Linked DNA regions of Caenorhabditis elegans. The protein of the gene in region 3 interacts with the protein of the main gene of each other region in a pairwise test. Each region holds a gene or a part of one and is shown on either strand. Other genes may lie near its edges.

What was found.
Region 1: the proteins of ran-1 (region 3) and toe-2 interact in a two-hybrid assay, tested with the Caenorhabditis elegans proteins (2 studies listed by BioGRID).
Region 2: the proteins of ran-1 (region 3) and npp-9 interact in a two-hybrid assay, tested with the Caenorhabditis elegans proteins (3 studies listed by BioGRID).

Annotation. Positions count from the first base shown.
Region 1 is NC_003280.10:6,516,688-6,523,482, forward strand, and holds toe-2 (Target of ERK kinase mpk-1), read right to left. Parts: upstream 4,689-6,795; 5' UTR 4,501-4,688; intron 2,982-4,500; 5' UTR 2,975-2,981; coding exon 2,806-2,974; intron 2,762-2,805; coding exon 2,431-2,761; intron 2,378-2,430; coding exon 2,002-2,377; intron 1,954-2,001; coding exon 1,321-1,953; intron 1,242-1,320; coding exon 1,126-1,241; intron 1,013-1,125; coding exon 883-1,012; intron 835-882; coding exon 724-834; 3' UTR 501-723; downstream 1-500. Other genes in the region: C56E6.7 (uncharacterized protein), read left to right, coding at 1-170.
Region 2 is NC_003281.10:3,400,035-3,406,222, forward strand, and holds npp-9 (Nuclear Pore complex Protein), read right to left. Parts: upstream 4,243-6,188; 5' UTR 4,230-4,242; coding exon 4,212-4,229; intron 4,163-4,211; coding exon 4,070-4,162; intron 4,025-4,069; coding exon 3,599-4,024; intron 3,546-3,598; coding exon 3,048-3,545; intron 2,944-3,047; coding exon 2,483-2,943; intron 2,434-2,482; coding exon 1,536-2,433; intron 1,276-1,535; coding exon 1,132-1,275; intron 1,074-1,131; coding exon 957-1,073; 3' UTR 610-956; downstream 1-609. Other genes in the region: Protein clpf-1, read left to right, coding at 106-372, 434-544; F59A2.5 (L antigen family member 3), read left to right, coding at 4,845-4,927, 5,039-5,167, 5,216-5,375; golg-4 (GRIP domain-containing protein), read left to right, coding at 5,542-5,655, 5,700-5,801.
Region 3 is NC_003281.10:10,746,081-10,749,741, forward strand, and holds ran-1 (GTP-binding nuclear protein ran-1), read right to left. Parts: upstream 1,649-3,661; 5' UTR 1,647-1,648; coding exon 1,529-1,646; intron 1,481-1,528; coding exon 1,355-1,480; intron 1,308-1,354; coding exon 1,186-1,307; intron 1,139-1,185; coding exon 950-1,138; intron 903-949; coding exon 810-902; 3' UTR 501-809; downstream 1-500. Other genes in the region: rib-2 (Exostosin-like-3 homolog), read left to right, coding at 55-206, 259-445; dkc-1 (Putative H/ACA ribonucleoprotein complex subunit 4), read left to right, coding at 2,362-2,409, 2,468-2,554, 2,597-3,075, 3,125-3,661. UniProt on the Caenorhabditis elegans protein: Ran GTPase system comprises ran-1, ran-2 and ran-3 and is essential in nucleocytoplasmic transport. Ran-1 is a GTP-binding protein that mediates the interaction between mitotic chromosomes and kinetochore microtubules.

The DNA.
Region 1 (6,795 bases), on a different chromosome or scaffold from region 3:
GAGAGGGCGGATCGGTTGAAGACAGTGGCAAACCGCTTCGTGCTGTTGCGTGTCCTATTAAAGTGCGGCTGAATAATAGGTGTCCGTCGTCGTCGACTTCGGCGCCATTCGTCCGTCTGTCAGTCCGTCAAACTTCTCCGGCCGCAGCTTCTTCATTTTCGAGAAACTGACGAATGCAACTCGATTATCCGATTTACTACTGCGCAATAGTTTTCTGGCCAGAAAAAAAACAGTTTGAAGGACGGAAGAATAAGATGAAGCCGCTATTGTGATGAGAAAAGTAGAAAAAGTGACGTAAATTCACGATGGCAACTCGTATACGGAAGACTATACGGTAGGTGTCTTCAAGAAGTCAAGCGAAAAGTTAATTGTTGCTAAATTGGAACTTTTTTGCAATGTTCTAGACTATCAAAAAACAATTGTACGGTAAGTGTTTGTAAATCGGATGCTAATGCCAATTATGGCATTGTTTCCGTTTCGACCTGAATGTAGAAAAAACTGTAAATCAAAAGATTTCATTAAAGGAAAAACAGAAAAAAATCAACTTTCTACTGAAAGTAAAGACCCGATTGAGATATTGGGTGGTGGTAAAAGCGAGATGGTACAGTAGATGCATTCGGCATATGACATTTTTGTATGCATAAAATCAATCGAATCTAGATCATTCCGAAGCTAAAACAATTAAATTACAGACATTTAGGGATTATAAAATTTCGAGTTGCTTTATATCATTCCTGGGAAAAAGTCGTTGTACAATTTCGGGTAGAATTTCTTGAAGTTCATCAATTGTTTCTTCTTTTCTGTCAGCGACAATTCCTTGTTGTCGATAACTGACTGAAAGCAATAAAATTATTACAGGAACCAAACTATTCATAAACTCACATTGATCATGGTTACCAGTGCTGAGTCAGTCTCATTCAGTCCATCTTTACTTTTCGAAGTTTTTGAACGAATTGATTCTCTTCGAACTGTATATCTCACTGGTGTCAGGTCACCTTCAAGCGAATTGTGTCTGAAAAATTATGTTTAATTGCTAAAAAATACAATTTCAAACAGGAAAAAAAGGCATGCAAAACAGAGAGAAGCATTCCGAACAAAACAATATTAATTTGTGAATTACTATACTTTCTCTCTTTTCGTTGCCATTTAATTTGTCCATTTACTGACTTTGCTCGAAGAGAGCTTTCCAATTGTGCCGGGCGTTGACCTAGTTTTCCTTTTTGTCGCAGTTCAACGAGGGTCTGAAAAGATTAAAAATTCCAGATAATTAAAAATAGCCAAAATCTCTGTTTTTCAGGTTTTAAAATTTCTGTAACAAACCTCGATGAAAATGTCTTGTTGAACATTTGTCATACATCCTCTCGGGAAAATAAAAGAAGACAGCTCTCCAATTATGACATTCACATTCTCTTTGTATCTCCGTGGATCCTTTTTCCCCAAATAATATGGACTTCTAAGATCTTCCACTGCATCCGTTCGCATAGTAAGTTGTAGCCACTGCACAAGTTGGTCGATCGTCTTGCGTATAGGATGAGGAACCATCAAGAAGATGTACATGACTGCCGTCGACAATTTTTCACCAGAATCCATATCGTTAATCAACTGCTGGGCAATCTTTGTAAGAAGAGGAGCGAATTCTGATGGGAACAACGGTGATGATCCGTTCTGTGTCATCTTCTCAAGACGGTTTTTCACTGCATCCAATGCTGCTCGACACCAAAGGTATAATTGTTCGTTATGGCTTGTTTTATGATTACTTGCGACAGGTTTCGCCTCAAAATAAAGTAATGGAGCACAGCAACGAGCCATCTGAAACCATTGACTTGCATCCCGGATCAATGGATGTGTTTCGATTAACAAATCCATATGGTCTTCCTGGTGCGGGTCAAGCCTTTCTTCACTTGCACCCAGTCCAACTTTTCCCAGAATGGATGATAAAAATGATGCATTGTTCTGAAATGAAATTATGTAAGTTTATGATCAAATATTTGTATTTAATACCTTTGAATCTTGTACCGGAAGAGCAACATCTTCGAGAAACTCAACGTCAATCAAGCTGAGTAAATGGAAGAGAGACAATTCATAGACTTCCGCTTCTTCCTCTTTTATCAACTGTTGTTCTGCTTTTTTGAGTTTTTTCTCATTCTTTTCTGAAGAAGACGAGAACAGACTCCACGTCGATTTCAAATTTGTCGAGCTTCCATCTTTTAAATTATCTTTGTCTTTGTCCCGACCTCGAGAATTGGATCTATTCCGGCGAACGAATGGAGAAAATAATCTCTTGATACTGTTACTGCGACGGCTGCTTTCTGATCGCGAAACTGATGCAGAATCGTCATGATTTCTTGAAGCGATCGGAGTATTCACAATATATAATCTAAAAATAAAAACAAGTAATTTAATATCATTCGAGATAAAAAGTTTGCTCACGATTCAGAATCTCCTCCAAGCCTGTAAAATGTACGTTCAGAATCAACAAATTTCTTCTGATGAGATTCTACACTTTGAATAGTATTCGACTCTAACCAAATTTCAAGCAGTTTTACAGCGTTGCTTCTTCCGATATTGTCGCGTGGAAACTCGTTGCGATGTGTTTCGATATATGCTGTAAGAATATCTGCAGCTTCGGCTCCTGTGAAGTGTTCTTCAGATTTTCTGAGCACGGATATGCTTCTTTTGAAATATGATTGCATTTGTTCCATCGTGTCTTTTGCTTTGAACTGGGATCGTGCTTGAGGCTGACTATTGTTTTCCTTATCATCTGAAGAAAAAATATTGAAATTTTTTATACTGACTGAAACAAACCGTCACGAGCTGGTTCGATTTTCAACGCGCTTCGCTGTGGCTTCATTGGAGCTTCTTTTCGTAATATCCCTCTCGGAGGTTTAGGCGGCGGCGACGGTGTGTTTTCCAAAATTACTGAATGAACAACATCTTCGTCATATGGGATACTGAAGTGACGAGACGAACTCATTTTTGACCTGAGGACATGATGGACGTTTTTGTGGTTAAAAGCTGGTAAGACACATGCAAAGCACACGGGAAAATTGGACAAAGGTGCATTTTATTCGAAAAAGTAGTGAGAACAAATTTTAAAAGTAGAAAATTGCATTTTTTTTAAACTTCTTTCATGCAAAACTTAACATTTATTTGTGAGAAACCTTGAAATTCGTAACAAAAAAGAGCGCTATATTTAAATTCTTATTGATGCCGCGAAATAATTAGTCCGAAAGGGCGCGTTTGCTGCGCACTACTGTAGGCCGAAAATTATCCATAAAATACATAGCATAACATTGTTTTTAAACTAAGTTTGAAACAATTATAAAACTGAAAAATGGCTGAAATGGTATTGGAAATTGCAATAAAGACATTTATAAACGTTCTAAAGTTGTTTTCCGTCAAGTGTCCCACGGTGTTATAAAGGAAACAATCATAAAACGTTGCAATATTGATTCGTCATGGGACTATTCTGCTCAATAAATTGTTGTTCGTTCTTACATTTTCCCCGACACTCTGCAAGAATATTGTTTTGTCTAGAAGATTCTCACGCTCAAAAGTTTCAATGTCCATGTTCTGGTTATCAGCAAAAAGGAAAAGCGCGTTTCCATTTCGTTGAAACCGTCCATCGATCACTGATAAGACTTCATCAGCATAGTTTCCACTGTTCGACCCTCCTACACTTCTCACCTCATTTATTTTAATGTGTATTACGATTTTACATGTGTTTTTTAAAGTTTCTATGGCCACTGAAACCCTATTTTATGACTAGCCTTTTTTATCTAGAACTATTGACAGTAGTGGTTTTTGTCTGAAATAGTTTGCAGGAAGAGAGTAATTAAATATTTGAACCGTAAATGTAAGCTAATTTTCGTTGAACCAACTCCATTGAATTCTTTTAAATTCCCTGACGAATAATGTAACACAGACGCGAAATTTTGCGTCAAAAATACGGTTCCTGGTCTCGACACGACGAAGTTTTATTGAATGCAAGAAGATGTGCTCCTTTAAAGTACTTCAAACTTTCGTTGCTGCGGAATTTTCATCAATTTTAAGTTTTTTGCACGGTTTGTTAAAATGTATGTTTTTGATTGTTTTATTTTAGTTTTAAATAAATACATTTTTACCAAAAAATTCCAGACAAACGAGAGTTTGAAATTACAGTAATCTTTAAATACGCACACCTATTTTCACTTAACAAAAAGTGCCCTGTCAAGACCCGGTACCGTATTCTAATTATTTCACGATTATAACAGATCAGGCGTAGGTCATTCTTCCAGACGGGTTATAGATTTTTTGTCTTGTAAGCAGGCAAATATTTATATGCATATGTGGGATTACTCAGAACTAAATTTGAAGTTCCAATTTCAAAAGTAGTTACGGATTTTCTGTTTTAACAAAGTAATTTTATAGAGTTTTAAATGAATTTCTGCTAAACATTAAATAAAATTATTTTTCGATTGCATTCGAAACAATTGTATTCTTGGAATGATTTAGATATACCTTGATTGACAGCTGCTAACAGAATACAGTCGATATATGACGTGTCCAAGTTTACTTTGATTTTCCCAAACTGGTCGAGATGTCGATGAAATTTGCATTTTTTCGCTTTTCTAAATAAACAGACAGCCTTGACGTTGGCCGGCTACCGTAACACAATAATCTCACAAACTGACGACACTGGGGTTTTTTTGCTGACACACTCAATTTTTTTCAGTTTTCTTCCCAAAAGTCAACATATATATTCCTTTTTCCAACAGATAAACAAAACATAAAATGGCAATAGTTGAAAGAAATTCGAAAGATAGAGAAATTGCGGCAAGCGGCGTTGAAAAGATTACGGTGGCCAGGGAGACTGGCACGGACACAGCACAAAGGAGCACTTATTCATTTGAATAGTTTAGTTTGATAGACTATTGATTTTATATTTATCAAGGCGGAACTAACTGAAAATGGGTGTTTACCGCGTGTTTTTGTTTTCAGTTATTCAGCTGTAGTACGTTGATAGTTTTTGAATATCAAAATAGTTTATCTAAATAGTATCACAACTAAATACCAACTATAATTTAGTCAAGGAATTTGTGGTACAGATAATTTTTTTGAGAATTATAACGAACTATTTTATAAGCATTGTCTCATAATACAGAACCATATTGTAATAACTTAAAACTCTATGATAAAAATCACAGTCAGAAAAATTAATTGGTAAACGTAGAATTTTAATCAAGGTTACAACTATTGGGCCAAAACAGTATCACTATGAGACTTCAAAACAAGACGTAGTAGGTCATTCTAAAACTAAATTCGGACTAGGTCATCATAAAAAAATTTATCTCAACTCTGAACCCTTGACTTTCAATCTGAAAGTATTATTTCACTAGATTGGAGGCCGAAGGAATATTTCCAAAAGTGGATTTTCGTAAAAAAAAACATTTTTTAATGGTTTCAAAGTTGTCAAGAGGAAGGAAGCTTCTGGAAGCTTTTTGAAAATTATTTGTATTTGAAACATATCTGAATTTTTTTTCATCTAATTTTTTATATAGAAAATTTAGGGTTTTATAGTTGAGTTTCGCTGCTTGCTAGTTGGGAAAATATTAAAATTTTTATGGTGCTAATGACCGAATATCATTTCTGTTCAAAAAAAATTCATGGATTTTTACGATCTACGATCAAAAAGCGACACAAATCTAAATAGACTATAGACTATATCATAGACTAGATAGTTACACCAAAGAAATAGGAAAAATTGTAAGTTAACTGTTTTGCTAACAGTAAAATAACAAGTTGGCTTTGTACATAGATACAACAGAGTGGACTTAGGTATCTGAAAAATGGCGTTTTCAAAAATGTTTCAAGGTCGTGAACATGAGTGAATTAATATAAACTTCTCAAATTTTTCTAAGCTGTTCCAATATTCATAACCCGGTATATCCATATTGATCAGGATTGCCACGTCATAGAGCCCTCAAACATCGACTGACAGGATTTTCCGATGGCCCTTTCGGTCTGCACGCACCGCCTGTGTTTTGTCAACGAAATATCGGTCCCGTCGACGACGACAACTGGGTCTCATTCTCACTCTCTGCATAATGAATGATGGCCTCTCTCCTGCATCTTCTCTCACTCTCTGTTCAGGCGGGGAAACCCCGTGTACGAGGACACCCGCTCTCTTGTCCACTCGATTTACAATTACTCATTGGTTCGATGACCGTTCCCCGCTCGTTGTGCACTTTTGATCTTTGGTCGCTTACGTTTAATCCTTGAGAATTGATACTATTTTGTTTTTATTTGATATCAAAACATTTTCCGTTCAATTTATTACCACCTATTCAAGACACACACTCCTCATTCTCATATCACTGAATCTACTTGATCCTTTCCGTTTTCAACGTTCTATTCTCAAGGTTGTTTGGTCATCTAGCGTGGTCAGTGTTGTAAAGCGCAAAGTGTTATCTTTTCTGTAAATATCATTCCCAGCTGGCATTAAACCTTGGTTCATCGGAACAAGTTTATGAAAGTTTAGGAGAAGTGCAATACGGTAGGATTAATCCCGTTTTGAAGGCTTTTCAAAATTTCCAAGTTTTGCCAAGTATACTCATAATCAAAAAGTAACTATGCAAATGTATCGGTGTTTTTTTAAATCAAGTTTCGTTACTTTTTTTTGCAATTTCTTAGACGCTTTTCATACATCCATTACTAAACAATCTTTATGAAGCAGTATGTCATATCTAACAATGAAGTTAACGCAAAAATCCTCTTTTGTTCGAACTTTCAGATAATTACGGTCAACTCTCCAAT
Region 2 (6,188 bases), 7.3 Mb from region 3:
GACACGGTTTTTCCGCAACCCTACCGCACTTGCGGGTTTTTTCTTTTTTTTGGTTTTTCAGTGTTTTAAAGCCTAACTTGTTAAGAAAAAACTTTTTTTTTGCAGTATTTCTACGGAACCCGTGCCAACAATCTCTACCCATTCACATTTGACGTCAGCTTCGATGACGTCACTCTTTGTAAAATCGGAGCCGAGCAACTGCCCGATTCATGTCTACCATTCGGAATGGAAGTTGAAAATCATGAGACAAAGCTGGTTATCATGGAGCCCAGTGCCGACATTAAACATCATTTGTTCGCGTTCTCGCGGAGCACGAAAGCCGACGAAAATGTGCTGAAATCGCCGGTTTTTGGATTTTGTCTTGTCACGGAGGTTGGTATTTCGTCGAGTTTTTGGGTCTCGAACGGAAATTTCAATTTTATCCAAATTTCAGGTTGATTTGGAGAAGCGAACAATGTCAATTCTCTGCCCACAGCGTACAATTCCATCGAAAGTTCTCGTCTTCTCAGATATCACCCATCTTGATGATCAAATAAAACGATAATTTATTTCTTTTTTTTCCTAATCCCTATTTATTTGTTTCCCGCCCTCAAAATAAATCTCATTCTTCAATGCATTCACAATTTATTGGATTGTCACCAGTGGGGAAAAATCGATGCCGGGACAATGTGAACAATATAGTTAAGTTTTAAAGACAAAAATTATGAATGATAGTGTGTGGGGGGTACTTATGAGAACAATGGGATTTTGAGAGAGATGGGGGGGAAATAAGGAAATTATTTTTTTAAAAACCTTACCAGACAAATATAAACTACACTTAAAGGACTATAGATGACAGCAGATGGGGATGAATAAAACTAGGTTCATAAATAAAATTGGTGGTGGGGAATACTAACACAGAGTGCTGGGTGGGGAGGAATAACAATAATAAAATAATTTAAATAATCAGCAGAGGATTACATCTTCGATTGAGCATCCTGAACAGCCGTCTTGAATGCTCCGGCGGTCGCCTCGTCCTTGAATTTGGCGGTGAAGATGGCTGGATCAGCGTTGGAGGCGTCTTCTGAGAAGTCCTGAAAAATAAGGAATTTATAGTACATTTTTATATAAAAAGAAATTAAAAATTGCTACCTGGCACATAAATGTGAGCACATTTGGCAAGTTTGGCTTCGGACTGAGCTTCATCGACTTTTCGATACGGAAATTGGCACAGAGCTTATGGACTTGCTCACGACGCATCACGATTCGATATTTGTTGTCATTGCTTTTCAGGAGCTGAAATAATAAATTATTTTTCTCAAATTTAGCCTCTATGAGTCAAAAATCAGTTGTTTTCTTAATAGTTTTCATTAAAATTTAGTGAAAAAACATAGAAAATACTTGCAAAACAGTTGAAAAGTGCGCAAAACTAGCACTTTTCTTAACTGTTTCAACTGAAATAAGTTATTTTCTACGTTTTATCACTAAATTTTAATGAAAACTATCAAAAGAACATGCCAAGCTGGCTCATTTTGATATAAAATCCTAAATCTGACCTTAATATCTCCGAGTCCACGTTCCTTATTCTCCTTGAGATCCGAATAGTACTTATAAAGCTTGCATCTGGCGGAGAACATGACCTCCTCGTCCTCTTCACCAGTTTTCACCTCAACCAAATCCGGAAGAGGAATAACTGGCTTAAACTCGACTTCTGGCTCATACTCCCCATCTCCATCCTCATTCGTCTCATCACCATCGTGTGAAGTTGCAGAAGTCGTGTTCAACGTGGTGTTCTTGCTCCCGAAAATGCTTGCCTTCTTCTGAGCAGCAAGTTCTTCTTGGGCCTTCTTGACATTTGCTGCGTCGAAAATGGAGCCAGATTTGGCAGAGTTGGCTGAAAGGGCAGCGAATGTTGCACCTCCAGACGTGAATCCACTACCGAACACGGATTTTGGCGTCTCGGACTGTTTATTTTCTTCTTGTTTAGCTGGTGCAGTCGTTGATGGAGTCTGTTGCTTTCCGAATGAGAAAGTTGGCTTTGGGAAGGCACTTTCAGAATTCTTGGCGAACATAAACGACGGAGTAGTAGTTGAAGAAGCTGTAGATTCAGTCTTGGAGAGTCCACCTCCGAACAATGAATTTCCTGGAGTCGTAGAGGTTGCCGGAGAAGCAGTTGAAGCTGCAGGATTGTTGAAATTGAACGATGGGGTAGTTGCATTGACAGCGGCAGCTGGCTTGTTGAATGAGAAAGTTGGAGTATTAGCAGCACCTCCACCGAAAACGCTTGTTCCCTTTGGTGTTCCACCACCGAAAATGCTACTGCTAGTGCTTGGAGATCCGCTGAGTGATCCACCGAACTGAGATGTTTGAGCAAGAGGTTCCTTGGCTGGAGCAGATGCTCCGAATCCGAATGTCACTTTTGGAGTTCCTGGGGCAGGCTGGAGGATCGAAGGTCTGCAAATTTAAATTTTTAATTTTAAGATAACTCAAATAGAATATTTACTTAGAGAATATATTTTTCTCTTTGACAGATCCGTCTTTCGATGTCCCACAACAGGCACATTCAATCTCGTCAGCTTTGCAAGTAACATAGCATCCAGGGCATTCCCAAGATCCTGGTTTTGGCTTGAACTGATCTCCAAATCCAGTCTCTTCCGGTTTGTTGTTTGATGGAATCACAACTTCTTGCTTGACTTCCTTCTTCACCTCAGCCGCCGGCTTGATTTCCTTGTCGATGGTCTTTCCAGCGTTGCTCGATGATTTTGCCTCAGCGACAGCCTTCTCGAACAAAGTCTTAAACTCTCCAGCGATATCGACGTTAGCGAAACGAGCGGAAAGCTTCACGTGAGCTGGCTGATCTTCGGAAAAGTCCTCGCAGAACCATGTGTAGGCCTTCTCGTTGGATTTCATTTGTTGAATGGTCATCGAGCCGAGAATTGGGAAATTGGCACAGACTTTGAGAACCTGTAATTTATTTTAATGCTAAATTAAGGTATTTAAATTTAAATTAAGATCTTTCTGTTGAGGAAAACGCCGAAAAATGTGAAAAAAGCTGTAATTGGAATAACCTGAATATTCCAACACAATTCTTCGGTTCCATTCTCAATATTTGAAGGGAGTGTCTCCTCCGAAATGGTCACCTGGTCTCGTCGCATAACAACTCTCCACGACTTCTTGTCCTTGTTGTAGAGAACCTTCAGCTCGCCGGTTCCTCGCTCCTTCCATTCCTTCGTCTCGTTGGCATAAATGTAGAGTTTTGAACGATTGCAGAACATGGTTTGCTCTCCTTCTTCTCCAGTTTTCACCTCGACAAGATCTGGCAGTGGAATGACTGGCTTGAACTCGCCCTCTGGCTCGTAATCCTCATCATGTTCTTCGTCTTCATCATCTTTAGCTGCTGGAACCACGACTGGGGAAGCAGTTTCAGGCTTTTTACCGAAGATTGAAGTAGCTGGATTGGTCCCGCCGAATGAGAATCCGGTGGTGGCTGGCTTTGGAACAACTGCAGGCGTTGGAGTAGAGAATGTTGGCTTAGCAGGTGGAATTACAACTTCTGGTGGAGATGTCTGAAAAATATTGAATTTTTAATTGCTGGAACTAAAACCCGAAAATTTGTTACCTTTGGTGCAATAACTCCAGAAGCTGGAACTGTCGATTTTGCTTGTGCTGTAGTGGCGACCAGTGGCTGTGTAACGGGAATAGCTGGCTTCGCAGCATTGAGCAAATTAGCCATAACTTGGCTTTGGGCCTGTGCTTGGGCTTGAGCTTGAGCGTGAGCATGAGCTTGAGCTTGTGCTGCCTGCACATGAGCCATCTCCATTTGTCGCTGAAGAATCAACATTTGCTGTTGTTGCTGAAGCTGCTGTGGAGGAATCATTGAGCCGAGAGGATTCGCATCACGAGCAAGAAGAGTGTGTATAATTTGATGAAGTCTCTCGAGCTCTTTTCCGTGATTAGTGCTCAAATCGGACAACTGCTTCTGAAACCGATCCTCGGATCGACGAATATCATCGCGAAGCTGGGTGACGCCGGTCTGGTGCTCAATCTGTGAAAAATAAGTATTAAATTGAGTTTTTCATGAATCGCATACCTTCAACGAGTCCATGCTTTTGATAAGCGAGTCAAACTGCATTGTCATCAACTGCTGCACATCCACGACGCTGGCGACAATGCGCCCCATATTCTGAAATACCGTGAATCATGTTGAGCAACATTCGAAAAGATTCACTTACCGGCTTCTGATCGCTCATTGCGAAAGGAGAGCTGAAATATGAAAAATATCAGGTAAACAATTCAAGAGACTTCAAGCTAAAGCGAGATAAAAAGACGAATACTGCGGTCTCTTTAGTTGAAAATTAGCAGCAATACTTCAAAGAATTCGCGCCAGGGATTTGAATTTCGAAATTTCGCGCCAACGCTTTCCCTGCTTAAAATAGGGCTTTCCTACCTTTAAAACTAGTCTTTTCTGTATAAAATATGCTTTTAAACGCACAAAAAATGTTTTCCAGCTATTTTTCGTAAAAATACGGAAAAACTATGGCGAAACAGTCTAAAATAAATAGAAATTGGGCGCCAAGCTTCGCAAATTTCGAAAAAAGTTCAAATTCCTGCGCCGTGGCGAGACCCGTTGCGTAAATCGACACGCGCGCCTTTAACCATGAGTTGGCAATTATTCATGGAAAATACCGGTTTTTCAGGCGAAAAACAGGATTTTTGATATTTTCCGTCGTTTTTTATGGCTTTTTCGGTTTTTGAAATGTCAATTTTGCCTGGAATAGCATTTATTATTCACTTTTCTCAGCGAATTTATTGATTTTTCATCAGAAACTTTCAAAATTGTGTTTTTTAGTGATTACAACAACAAAATGGAAGTAGACACAAGCTCATCGTCATCTTCAGAGGACGAATGTGACCCAAGCTCTCCGAGCACGGCATATATCCACTCAGCGTGAGTTTTTCGCTAAAAAACACAAAAAACAAACTGTTTTTTAAATGTTTTTGTTTCAAAATTAACATTTTCTGAAGTTCTAACAGCAGTTTCTAATCCGATTAATTCCAGAAGCGTACGATTATCCGTCGGAACAGAAGAAGCGGCTCGAACCGTGGCAGATGTCATAAAAATCGATAAAGAGCCGAGAAGAAGTGGTGCTCGACGGGAAGTGTGCAGCGAAGGCGAATTTGTAGTCATGTAATAGTTTTTCTATTCGAATAACTAAATAAATAAGTTAATTTTCAGAAAAATCGAATCAAAAGATCCGAAATCATTGTCAAAATCCATTGCCAACGCTGTTGATATGATCGATTTGTCCGTGAAAACTATCAAACTTTGTGAAAATCTGGGAAAATCGAAGGAAAACGGATTGAAAAGAAAACTCTCAAACGGATCTCAGGCTTAATTTGATTAAAATTTGTTATTTTTTCTGTTTTTGTTTTTTGAAATGAATTTTTTTCAACTTTTCATGATTTTTTCTTCTTAAAAATATGGTTTTTAACCTTTAAAATACTTTTTTTTTCGATTTTATTGCAAATTCCCCACTAAAAAATCGATTTTTTCAGGTTTAAATGTTCAAAAACCTGAAAAACCGGCTGGATAATGAAGCCGGAAAGCTTAAACAATCAGCTCAGCAGTATGGAGAACAACTCGCCGCTCAAGTTGGACAATATCGGCAGGCGATGGTAAAAATCCACTGAAAACTGAGAAAAAATCGATAAAATTGCAGAATGAGCAGCCTGCTGGCAGTGATGCATCCGCGTCGATTTCTAAAAGATTCACCGGAGAATCAGGAGAAACTAAAGCTGAAAATCCAGCAAATACCTCTATTGTGAGAGTTTTAACATGAAAAATTCTCGAAAAATTGAATTTATCGTCGAAAAACTATTATTTTCCAACCATTTTCGTGAAAATTTCCGGAAAAATGGATTTTTACTGTTGAAAAACAATTTCTTGTGAGATTTAGTTCGGAATCCAAAAAATGTACCAAAAACAGCAGAAATATGCGAAACAAAGAGATTTTTAAATAAAAATCTATTTCCAGCAGCTGTGAGACCGTTAAAATGTACGAATTTTAAGGTTTTATTAAAATTTTTCGCCATTTTTTCGAAGTTTTGCATCAATTTAATTGCAAAAAAAATATATTTTTTCCGCATCTAAATCACATTTTTGTATGTTTTCCATGTTTTTTACAAGAAAACTCAAAAAATACCAAAAA
Region 3 (3,661 bases):
AATTCCCGCGTCTGGGTAAAACCCGTATAAAATCTAAAACGTTAAAAATTTCAGAACTATTTGACTGCTTACACCTACGAAATGCCAGCTGAAATTCGTGAACATGTGAATAGCATCAAAAACTGCGAGGACATTGCTATGAATTATTTAGTTTCTCATCTCACACGAAAACCGCCAATCAAAACGACTTCTCGATGGACGCTCAAGTAATTTCCAGATTTTAAATGAGTCTAATCTAATAATAATTTCAATTTTCAGATGTCCAACTTGCACGGAAAGCTTGTATAAAGAAGGGACACATTTCGAGAAACGCCACGAATGTATGCGATTGTTCACGAAAATCTACGGCTACAATCCTCTGAAATTCTCCCAATTCCGTGCTGACTCGATTCTTTTCAAGACGCGTCTCCCACAGAATCATCAAAAGTGCTTTAAATATGTGTAAAAAAATCCCCCTCTGCATTTGCTCACTTTCCCTATTGCCGGTATAATTCACTTGTCGAATGGTGCTACAATTTATTGCAACAAGTTGTTTAAAATTTTTTAGTCGAACATAAAATATAAAATAAATCATGGAGATTGAGAGTGATGAGCCAACCATTTCTTCAATTCATTCGCACAACGATCAAACAGCAAATGTACAATCCTTCTTCTACCCAAGCCAGCACTTTGAATTGTAGACACCGGTTGGGTATGCAAATTATTTTTAAGTTAAGAAATTAATTGGCATATGAAATGTATAAAATGGTAAATTTAGGTGGGATGGTTTTGTGAGATTTGAAAACAAGGATTTTGAAAGGTTAAAGTGTTTAAAGATCATCGTCGTCATCTGGAAGATCAGCCTTGGCGGCGTTGTCCAGATCCTTTTCGTATTCGGCAATCATGGCTGGGTCCATTTGAACCTGGAAATTAAAATATTGCTTATGAAAGAACATGGATTTAAAAATACCTCTGGAGGAGCCAAAGCTGGCATTGCGACAAACTCGAGGTTTGGATCTCCGAGCAGCTTTCTGGCGAGCCAGAGGAATGGCTTTTCGAAGTTATAGTTCGACTTTGCGGAGATGTCGTAGTATTGGAGGTTCTTCTTTCGGTGGAAGGTGATGGTCTTGGCCTTCACTTTACGGTCCTTGACGTCGACCTGAAATTTGTAATTGAATATATTGGCCAGTTTCAGCTAGTGATTACCTTATTTCCGCAGAGAACAATTGGAATGTTTTCACATACTCTGGCCAAATCGCGATGCCAGTTCGGGACATTCTTGTAGGTGACACGAGCGGTAACATCGAACATGATAATGGCGCATTGTCCTGGAAATTGGGCATTTCAGAAGTTATAATTTCGAATTTTAACATACCTTGGATGTAGTATCCGTCACGAAGACCACCAAATTTCTCCTGTCCGGCGGTGTCCCAAACGTTGAAACGAATTTGTCCGCGATTGGTGTGGAAGACAAGTGGGTGAACTTCGACTCCGAGAGTGGCTGAAAACAATTATTGAACTGGGAGAAACAAATTCCTGAATTACTTACCAACATACTTCTTCTCGAACTCTCCAGTCAAGTGACGTTTAACGAAGGTAGTCTTTCCGGTTCCTCCATCTCCGACAAGGACAAGCTTGAAAGTTGGGATGCCGTCTCCACCAGACATGACTGAAATGAGGAGATGAGGAGAATAAAATACGAAGGAAAAAGATTGTCAAGAGGAAAATAGCACGAAACTTTTCGAAAATGCGAATTATTGCGAAATTCTACGTATTACCGAAGCTTCAGTTGAAAATCACGAAGCGGTGGATAAATATTTCAAAAACAAGAATGTTCGGATAATGTGTATTTAGAATTGAGCAAAAAAGTTTTAGAAGAGACGTGAAGCTGAGCAGAGAGATTATCTCGTGATCAGAGCTTGCTCATGGAGCAAAATCAGAGAGAACTCGAAAATTACAGTGAACCAACTGAGGAAACAACGCAAATGCATCAAAATGAATGAAAAAACCGAAAAAAGATGACAAAACTTGGCGCCAGGGACAAGAAAAGTATTCGAAAATGGCGCAACAAGCCAGATTTGCGCGCCAAAATGAACAAAATTCGAAAATGTTTTTGCGTAGAACCCCGTGTGTGTTGAGGCATAGGGGCACACACGCAGCCTGTGTCTCTTTCGTCTGGCACACTGCCAATGGGGGTTTCTTCTCTCGTTTTTCAAAAAATCGATAGTTTTCTGGCAGGTTTTCTGCTTCTTGACACTTTCCACGAGCTTATGAGGCATATTTGGAGTTCATTAGAACCTTATTAATCTTTAAACTCTTGTTAATCGCTTCAGAACTGTTGGATTTTGTCAATAATGTTATTTTTTCAGCGAAGATCTCATCATGGGCAAGAAGGATAAGCGTTCCAAGCTTGAGGGAGACGATCTAGCTGTTAGTTTTTAATTTTCAAGCCATTTATTAAATATTGAGTACATTTTCATTATTTCAGGAGGCTCAACAGAAGGGATCATTCCAACTTCCATCCTCGAACGAAACCGCCAAGCTCGATGCTTCCCAGTGGCCACTTTTGCTCAAGGTAGTTGAGTGATCTCATTTAAAAATTAAATTATTATTTCAGAATTACGACAAATTGAATGTGCGCACCAATCACTACACACCACACGTCGAGGGAGTATCACCATTAAAGCGTGACATCAAGAACTACATTTCGTCTGGATTCTTCAATCTTGACAAACCATCGAACCCATCTTCTCACGAAGTCGTGTCCTGGATCAAGAGAATTCTTCGTTGCGAGAAGACCGGACACAGTGGAACACTCGATCCAAAAGTATCGGGATGTCTGATCGTTTGTATCGACCGTACCACTCGTTTGGCCAAGTCGCAGCAAGGAGCTGGAAAGGAATACATCTGCATCTTCAAGCTCCACGAGGAAGTTGAGGATGATCGCAAGGTGAAGCAAGCCCTCGAGAAGCTCACCGGAGCCCTCTTCCAACGCCCACCACTGATCTCAGCTGTCAAGCGTCAGCTTCGTATTCGTACCGTTTACGAGAACAAGTTCATCGAGTATGATCCAGCTCAACAGATGGGAATTTTCAAGTAAGAATCCTTATAATAAATCTAATTTCTAGTTTTCATTTAATTTCAGCTGCATCTGCGAGTCGGGAACCTACGTTCGTACAATTTGTGTGCATCTCGGTCTCATCCTCGGATGCGGAGGTCAAATGCAAGAGCTTCGCAGAAACAGATCCGGAATCTGCGATGAAAACGAGAATATGGTCACAATGCACGACGTTCTCGATGCTCAGTATCTCCTAGACACCCAGAAAGACGAGAGCTACATGAGACACATCGTTCGTCCACTTGAGGCTCTTCTCACCCAGCACAAGAGAGTTGTTGTCAAGGACAGTTGCATCAACGCGATCTGCTACGGAGCCAAGATCCTTATTCCCGGAATTCTTCGTTACGACGATGACATCGAGGTTGGCAAGGAGATCGTCATCATGTCGACGAAGGGAGAAGCCATCTGCATCGCTATTGCTCAGATGAACACATCAACGATCGCTTCAGTCGATCACGGAGTCGTTGCCAAGTCGAAGCGTGTCATTATGGAGCGTGATGTGTACGGAAGAAAGTGGGGACTTGGACCGGTTGCATCCAAGAAGAAGCAAATGGTCAAGGACGG